2 linked regions of the Arabidopsis thaliana genome follow. Each later gene encodes a partner of the first gene's protein in a complex. Each region holds a gene or a part of one and is shown in the gene's direction. Other genes may lie near its edges. The genes, in order: AT5G65220 and PRPL28.

Region 1 (4,215 bases):
AATGGGACTATGAACACACCAAACCACATAATAATACCGAATAATCAGAAACTAGACAACAACGTGGTACTTTTTTACTTCATTGCTCTTCAACCTCCTGATGATAAATTTGTTTGGTCTGTTTTCAGAAATTTAAACTAGCTTTCATTTCTTGACAATCTTTTTTTTTTTTTTATAGTCAGAGGATACTTCCCATGGAACAGCAGGAACTCCTCACATGTTCGATCAAGAAGCTTCAACGTCTAGACATCCCGATAAGGTTAGCTATTCAAATACTTCTCTATCAGTTTCTTAATCATAAATTTCTACGCATCATATAGACTAAATCGTTATATCGTTACAGATACAAAGACGGCTTGCTCAAAACCGCGAGGCTGCTAGGAAAAGTCGCTTGCGCAAGAAGGTATGACTTCATTTTCTTCCCCTTGGTAAACTGTTTCTGTTTGCCTAATGAGTTGAGAGATTTGATTGTTTTTTTTTTTTGCAGGCTTATGTTCAGCAACTGGAAACAAGCAGGTTGAAGCTAATTCAATTAGAGCAAGAACTCGATCGTGCTAGACAACAGGTTAATGAAATGAAATCTAAATATATATTCGCTTTCTTTCGAGTTCCAAAATATAATGCAATTTCTGATTGAATATGAATGTTTTCAGGGATTCTATGTAGGAAACGGAATAGATACTAATTCTCTCGGTTTTTCGGAAACCATGAATCCAGGTTTTGAATCAAGAACAATGAGTCTTTTGGAAAAAATATAGAATTCAAGATTTTGATTGGTGGAAGCTTATTTGATTTGCAGGGATTGCTGCATTTGAAATGGAATATGGACATTGGGTTGAAGAACAGAACAGACAGATATGTGAACTAAGAACAGTTTTACACGGACACATTAACGATATCGAGCTTCGTTCGCTAGTCGAAAACGCCATGAAACATTACTTTGAGCTTTTCCGGATGAAATCGTCTGCTGCCAAAGCCGATGTCTTCTTCGTCATGTCAGGGATGTGGAGAACTTCAGCAGAACGATTCTTCTTATGGATTGGCGGATTTCGACCCTCCGATCTTCTCAAGGTATAAAACAAATAACAATCTAGCGTAATGTTTAATGAATAGAAGGAAACAAGCAAGATTACAATGTTTCAAATGTTTTTTTTTGTAGGTTCTTTTGCCACATTTTGATGTCTTGACGGATCAACAACTTCTAGATGTATGCAATCTAAAACAATCGTGTCAGCAAGCAGAAGACGCGTTGACTCAAGGTATGGAGAAGCTGCAACACACCCTTGCGGACTGCGTTGCAGCGGGACAACTCGGTGAAGGAAGTTACATTCCTCAGGTGAATTCTGCTATGGATAGATTAGAAGCTTTGGTCAGTTTCGTAAATCAGGTAAAATATATATATTCAAACTCATTTGAAAATACTATAGTATCAGTTTCTTGATTTTGTTTGTTCATTCTTAGGCTGATCACTTGAGACATGAAACATTGCAACAAATGTATCGGATATTGACAACGCGACAAGCGGCTCGAGGATTATTAGCTCTTGGTGAGTATTTTCAACGGCTTAGAGCCTTGAGCTCAAGTTGGGCAACTCGACATCGTGAACCAACGTAGGTTTGAGTTATTTTGTAACAACCAAATGAAGAAAATGGAAAGACCTCAAAAAATGAAGAATGAGTGCATCTGAAAACAGAGGACTACTCTGAATAAATAGAGGGGTTGCTGCTGATATTTATTTTTACTCTGCGGCGGAATTAGAAAATTTGAAAAACATCATGTATTGATAAGTTGTAAATATCAGAAAAAGGTGGGGGTGCAAAAATTTGTACTTTTTAGCTTTTGAAAGAGGCAAGTTTTTCGAATGTTTGTTTGATTTGTAAACAATTTCAGAATTATATAAACTTGGTTCCAAATCCCCTGTAATAATGTCGAGCTATCTGCAATTTGAAAACTATAGGGGCTTTACTTAATTTTACGTTTTGTGTGACACCTATTTGATTTTTTTTGATACGTTTGGACCAGTTTCGTAATTAGAGGTAAATAAAGGGGCAAATAGTAAGATATAAGAAAAGCCTTATCTCATAGAGTTTCTTCTCTTCATTATCCTCAAAATCGCTCGAGAGTGAGAACTCTGCTCTTCTTCTTCTTCCTCCGCCATAGCTACAATGCTTAGTCTCTCAATCGCTACGCCGGGGACGGCGGCGATTTTTCGTAGAGGAACTGCTTCGGCGACTTCAACTTCGTCTTCATTCCATGGTGTCAGAATCCAGCACCAGGTTTCTGCTCGCGTCCCCGCGGCGGCGACGATATCGTCGTCGTCTCCTAAACCGTCGGTGGTGATGATGTCGAAAAGAGAGGCGGAATTGAAAGAGATAAGATCGAAGACGACGGAGCAGTTACAAGAGGAGGTTGTTGACCTTAAAGGTGAGCTCTTTATGCTTCGTCTCCAGAAATCGGCAAGGAATGAGTTCAAATCTAGCGACTTTCGTCGTATGAAGAAACAAGTAAGCTTTTTTCTTACTCTTTAATGCAGAATTATTCCAAATTGTGAAATCTACTTTGTGTTATCTGGTCGATTTTGGCAGTCTTTGAAAGGGTTTAACAAAATTGGGATATGTGGTTTATTGATGGAAACATTGAAATCATCACCATGGAAAATAGGATTATTTAATATGAAGTTGTAGAAGATGTTAGCGAACTCTATAAGCAATGTTTTGTGTTGTTTGTTCTACACATTATAGTTGATTCTAAACTCTAACAATGGCAACATTGTAAGTTACTGTTTTGTGATATCTAATACTGTTTTTGGTAGGTGGTGGAATGGAATTAGAGATTTAATATTGAGTTCAATCCATCCCCTTTTATAGATTCTTGCACACAAGCTTCGAATATGTTCTTAGGATACTACGGTTTCAGTTAGACATGAATGTTGAGCTTTGCGATATCGTTTGTTTAGTCTTTTAAGTGTGCCAATGCACCAAACTAGCTTTAGATGAGAATTTACTTGCTTTGGTTTTACTGATTGCTGGGATTTCAATCAGACATGAATCTTGAGCTCTAAGTGACTAATCCACCCAACTTAGCTGGAGATGACACTAAATTCAAGTAGAGATTTCTTGGTTTTTTTGGCTTACGTCCGTCTCTTTTCTGGTACTGAAGATGTGATCTTTTGGTTGTGGGTGATTTAGGTTGCTCGGATGTTGACGGTTAAAAGAGAGAGGGAGATCAAAGAAGGGATAAAGAAAAGGTTGTCGAGGAAACTTGACAGACAATGGAAGAAAAGCATAGTACCAAGACCACCTCCGTCTCTGAAGAAACTTCAAGAAGAAGAAGCTGCAGAAGAAGCAGCTGAAGCTGCTAAATCTGCTTGAAAAAACCCGCTATTGATTTATGGTCTCTTCCTTGTTGTTTCCTCGAGATGTTGTTAATCTCTGTTATTTGTTGCTGAACCATCTTGTATTTGTTTTTCTTTTGGTGTAAACACTTTCCTTATCAAGTAGTTTACATGAATCCCTTAAAGATTGAAATCGTTCCTTCATGTTTCATCAGAATTATCATCCAATCTGACAAAGAAACTAGTAATCATTCGAAGTTCGAAAAACATCAAATAAGAATAAAGATAAATAAATAAAAGGAAAAATCCAAAACATTGGCGGGAAAATTAGGAATTTATTGAGGAATCAATGGTGGGCTTAGAAATAGAATGGTGCGTTAAAGTTTCTGTCTTTGTGTGCGTAGATGAGGTATTCGGTGGTAGATTCCGGCTGGGTTTGGATTTTTTTTCCGGCGAGTCTATGAGGTAAAGTGATATTTCTTACAGATTTTAAGGATTCAACTAATACGATTATGTTTCCGATGATGTTTCTTGTTTGGGCATGAAACCCTAGATTTCAGCGATTCACTTTCAAAATAAAATCCGTTTATGCAATCGAATGTAGTAGAAAAATCTCATCTTGGTAAATCTCATTGAGACTTCATTGTTAGTTTTTTTTGTTAGTCAACCAACAATGGGTTTGGTTTTTGTTTTACTATTTTTGTCCTTTTCTTATTAGTATATTGAAGATCTGGCCAATAATTTTTCTGACTCAGTGGTGTTGAAATCTTCTTTCAGAAGTGGGGACTAGTGATAAAATAATCTCAAATTAGTAGTTTCTTCTCTTTGTTTTTTCTTTTCTTAAAAGTTTGAATACGACTGATATAAACATAGTTCAATAA
Region 2 (3,412 bases), on another chromosome or scaffold:
TCAGTACACTGATGGATCTGTTACCCTCAAAGCTTGTGCTGGTCTAAATGGTATGAGGTTAGGTGGCAGTGTAATAACAGCCGTTTGTGCATTTCCTGATGCATCATCCGTAGCGGTAATTCAGTGACCCAACTTTGCTTTCGTTAGTTCATGTTGTGTTTGTATGGGTGACATTGAACAGAAATTCCTTTAGTTACTTGTGAGAGTGGTGTGTGTACGTAATATGTGTTGCAGGTGAATGAGAATCCACCATTCTATGGGATACCTAGCCATGCAAAACCACTTCTTGGCAAGCCTAAGAATATTCTAAAGCTAAAAAATGTGGTAAGCATAATTGGTGTATCCTTTTTCTTGTGAATCTTTCCCAAATAAACTATGTGAGGCTATATTAACATTCCATTCTTTCTTGTTTGACAGGTTGACCCAGAAGATCTCACGTCGTTTTCCGAGCAAGAAGTGAAAGAAATTTTGGAGGATGTACGGTTAGAATGTGCCAGGTTAAGCTCTGAGATCATCTTCCCATGAGTCCATTGAGCTTTTAAAAGCTAGTAAATTAAGAAAATAGGCCTCTGGGTCTTGTCATGATGCAGGTTTGGGGTTATTAAGTCGATAAACATCTTGGAACACAAGAGCAAAGATATCACTGTTTCTGAAACAAATCCATTGTTGAACTTAGAATCAACTGATTCTAAAGAAATGAATGTGTCAGTGATCGAGGAGAAAGATGAAGGATCCGAGAAAGCGGAAGATATTGCAGACAATGTAGATCTTGCAGAGGTTGTCATGCCAGACAGTTTGACAGGTGAAGACAAGTTATGTGAACCGTGCTCGGATACTGCTGCTGAAACAAGCACTCAAGAAAATGAAGATCTACACTCCACTGAACAAGAGCATTGTGAAAAGATTGTTGAAGAAAGTGCGCAGGCCGAGGCAGAGAATCCACAAGAAGTAGCATCAGTGCGTACCGTGAAGACAAGATGGGATGCTGGCGACAAGATAGAAGAAGAACAAGAAGAAGACCCCGAGGATGTATTTGAGACGGGTTGTATCTTCATTGAGTACAGAAGACCAGAAGCGACATGTGATGCAGCCCATTCTTTACACGGAAGGCTATATGATAACCGGATTGTGAAAGCAGAATATGTTTCTAAAGAGCTTTACCAAATCCGGTTCCCAAGTGGGTAAATAATCCCACAACAAGTGAGACTCTGTGATTCTTCTCATCTTTACCACATAACCGGTTCAAACCGAGTTCAGAGATACATAGCATCTACAATCAAAAACCCTTCAAAAATCTCTTTGTAATCGTTGGGATTGATCAGGTTGGATTATTCATCACCACCTGTGTCTCGTTACTTTTATGTATTAGAGAATCCAAGAAGGGAAAGATGAAACCATACTATTGTGTTGGTGGCTATATGGACCGGTTTGCTTACTGAAAAATTGTTGTGTTAAAAGAGAACGTAACCTTCTGAATGAGAAAGCGTCTTTCATTTTCTACAAAATAATAAATAAAATGAACCCAATCTCCTTCTTTATCCAAATCCTCCTTCGAAGCAGAAGTAACAGCAACCAAAAATGACGACAATGGCGACACAAGGCGCTTGGCTACGAATGACCTCATCAGCCAAGTCCATGACCAAGTCAACCGTGACTTCAAAGGAGCTTGGATTCCTCACCTCCCAGCTCAGCGGCTTAAGAATCTCATATACTCCCAGTGACGTCATCAACCGTATCTCCCTTCCTTCGTTCCCCGGGATTCAGCCAATCGTCGCACGTAATTCCCCTTTTCCCTTTCTCTTAGGGTTTAGTCGAATGCATTGGCGTACTAAATTTATCTTGCTTTCGTTTTATTCATGTCGAATTTCGAATCTCTGAGTTAGCAAGCTTGTGTTGAATTGTCTGGAACTATGTCTTTGCTTTTAGATATGAAAATGAGCAGTGTATTTAAAACCCGTAGCATAATTTCTCGTATTAAACTTTTCCTTTGAATTTGATGTTATGTTAAAAAAATTCTCCAAAATTGACCACATTTATATGATTCTGAGCATTGGGCAATTTGCTCCTTTTTTCTTGAAACTGTGTTTTTGTTTTCCAAAATGTCAGGTAGAATCTGCCCTTTTACTGGGAAGAAAGCAAACAGAGCAAACAAAGTTTCATTCTCTAACCACAAGACCAAGAAGTTGCAATTCGTCAACTTACAATACAAGAGAGTTTGGTGGGAAGCTGGCAAACGTTTTGTCAAACTTCGTTTATCAACTAAGGCTTTGAAGACCATTGAGAAGAACGGACTCGACGCTGTTGCCAAGAAAGCCGGCATTGATCTTCGCAAGAAATAGATATGATGATCGCAAAGTTTATTATATACATTTCTTGCTTCTCCTTTTGCAGTACTCGTACATTTCCTTTCTAGATTTTGGTAAGTATCAATGGAATCTCTGAGTTGTTGTATCAGACACTGTCAAGAAAAGACTTTAAAGAGAAACGAAAACAAACTCTCACTTGCAGGTGGCTCAAATAATACATTTCATGGTTTTGTTTATGTTTCTCAGATAATATCGTTACAGGTTGTATCAACTGAATTCTCGGGTTTTCCTTTTGAAGACTTCTTAATCGAACCTTCTCCTCCTGCTGATGATCCTTTTAGTTTCCTAGGACGCGATGTAGCCTTCCGTGGAGGAGCTGAACCATCAGGTATTTGATTAGGAACTTCTGTGTCTGGAGCCGGGATACCACCACGCCTTCTGCGAACTGATGGTTCTTGATCATTCGATGAGTCTGTTGACCCGTGTGCGCTTCGGTTATGTCTTGAATGCTTTGATGGTTCATCTGATGATGCAGCATTTCCGCTACTTTTTCTAGGCGGAGACCCGTTATGATTTGGAGAAGCTGCTCCTCCGGGTTTCCGCCTTGTTTTCTGTTTCGGTTTCTCGTTTGTGTTCGAAGGCAGTAACTCTTTTAGCCCGGCTCCACGTTGGTTCGTCCCTATTGAGATACACATCAATTCCTCGAACCAATCCAGATTTGTTCCTCAAAGCTTAACACTTTAAGGGAAAAGGAAAAACACACTTTGCAAAAATAACTAACCTTGCGGGTTGTATTTGTTGGAATTTCCCCTGGAAACGACTTGACCTTTCTCATGTTCTTGAGTTTTAAAGTCATTCATCTGCAGTTTTTGTCCCATAAAAAAACAATAATGAGCACAGATACGTGTGACATGTATGAAAATACGTATAAATGTACGTATGATCTTACCCAGCTTGGTGTGGTGTTGGTTGGACCGTCGGAGCCAATGTGGGCAACATGCTTTACATCGGTCGGAAATCCTATCTGCATCTCCTGCTCTTTCTCTTCATCTGCAATAGAATAATTACATCCACCATGTAATTTGACTTTTGACACAAGAAACACA

The links.
Region 2: AT5G65220 (region 1) and PRPL28 share a complex: the UniProt entries of both Arabidopsis thaliana proteins name them as parts of the 50S ribosomal subunit.

What each region holds. Positions count from the first base shown.
Region 1 is NC_003076.8:26,059,136-26,063,350, forward strand, and holds AT5G65220 (Ribosomal L29 family protein), read left to right. Parts: upstream 1-2,029; 5' UTR 2,030-2,165; coding exon 2,166-2,504; intron 2,505-3,188; coding exon 3,189-3,371; 3' UTR 3,372-3,547; downstream 3,548-4,215. Other genes in the region: TGA1 (bZIP transcription factor family protein), read left to right, coding at 1-66, 179-259, 344-403, 488-565, 654-717, 800-1,071, 1,160-1,387, 1,462-1,614; AT5G65225 (uncharacterized protein), read left to right, coding at 3,795-3,799.
Region 2 is NC_003071.7:14,172,042-14,175,453, forward strand, and holds PRPL28 (Ribosomal L28 family), read left to right. Parts: upstream 1-1,537; 5' UTR 1,538-1,578; coding exon 1,579-1,777; intron 1,778-2,102; exon of another isoform or gene 2,103-2,106; coding exon 2,107-2,339; 3' UTR 2,340-2,548; downstream 2,549-3,412. Other genes in the region: AT2G33435 (RNA-binding (RRM/RBD/RNP motifs) family protein), read left to right, coding at 5-115, 235-324, 418-497, 591-1,185; RIC1 (ROP-interactive CRIB motif-containing protein 1), read right to left, coding at 2,549-2,985, 3,088-3,166, 3,256-3,356.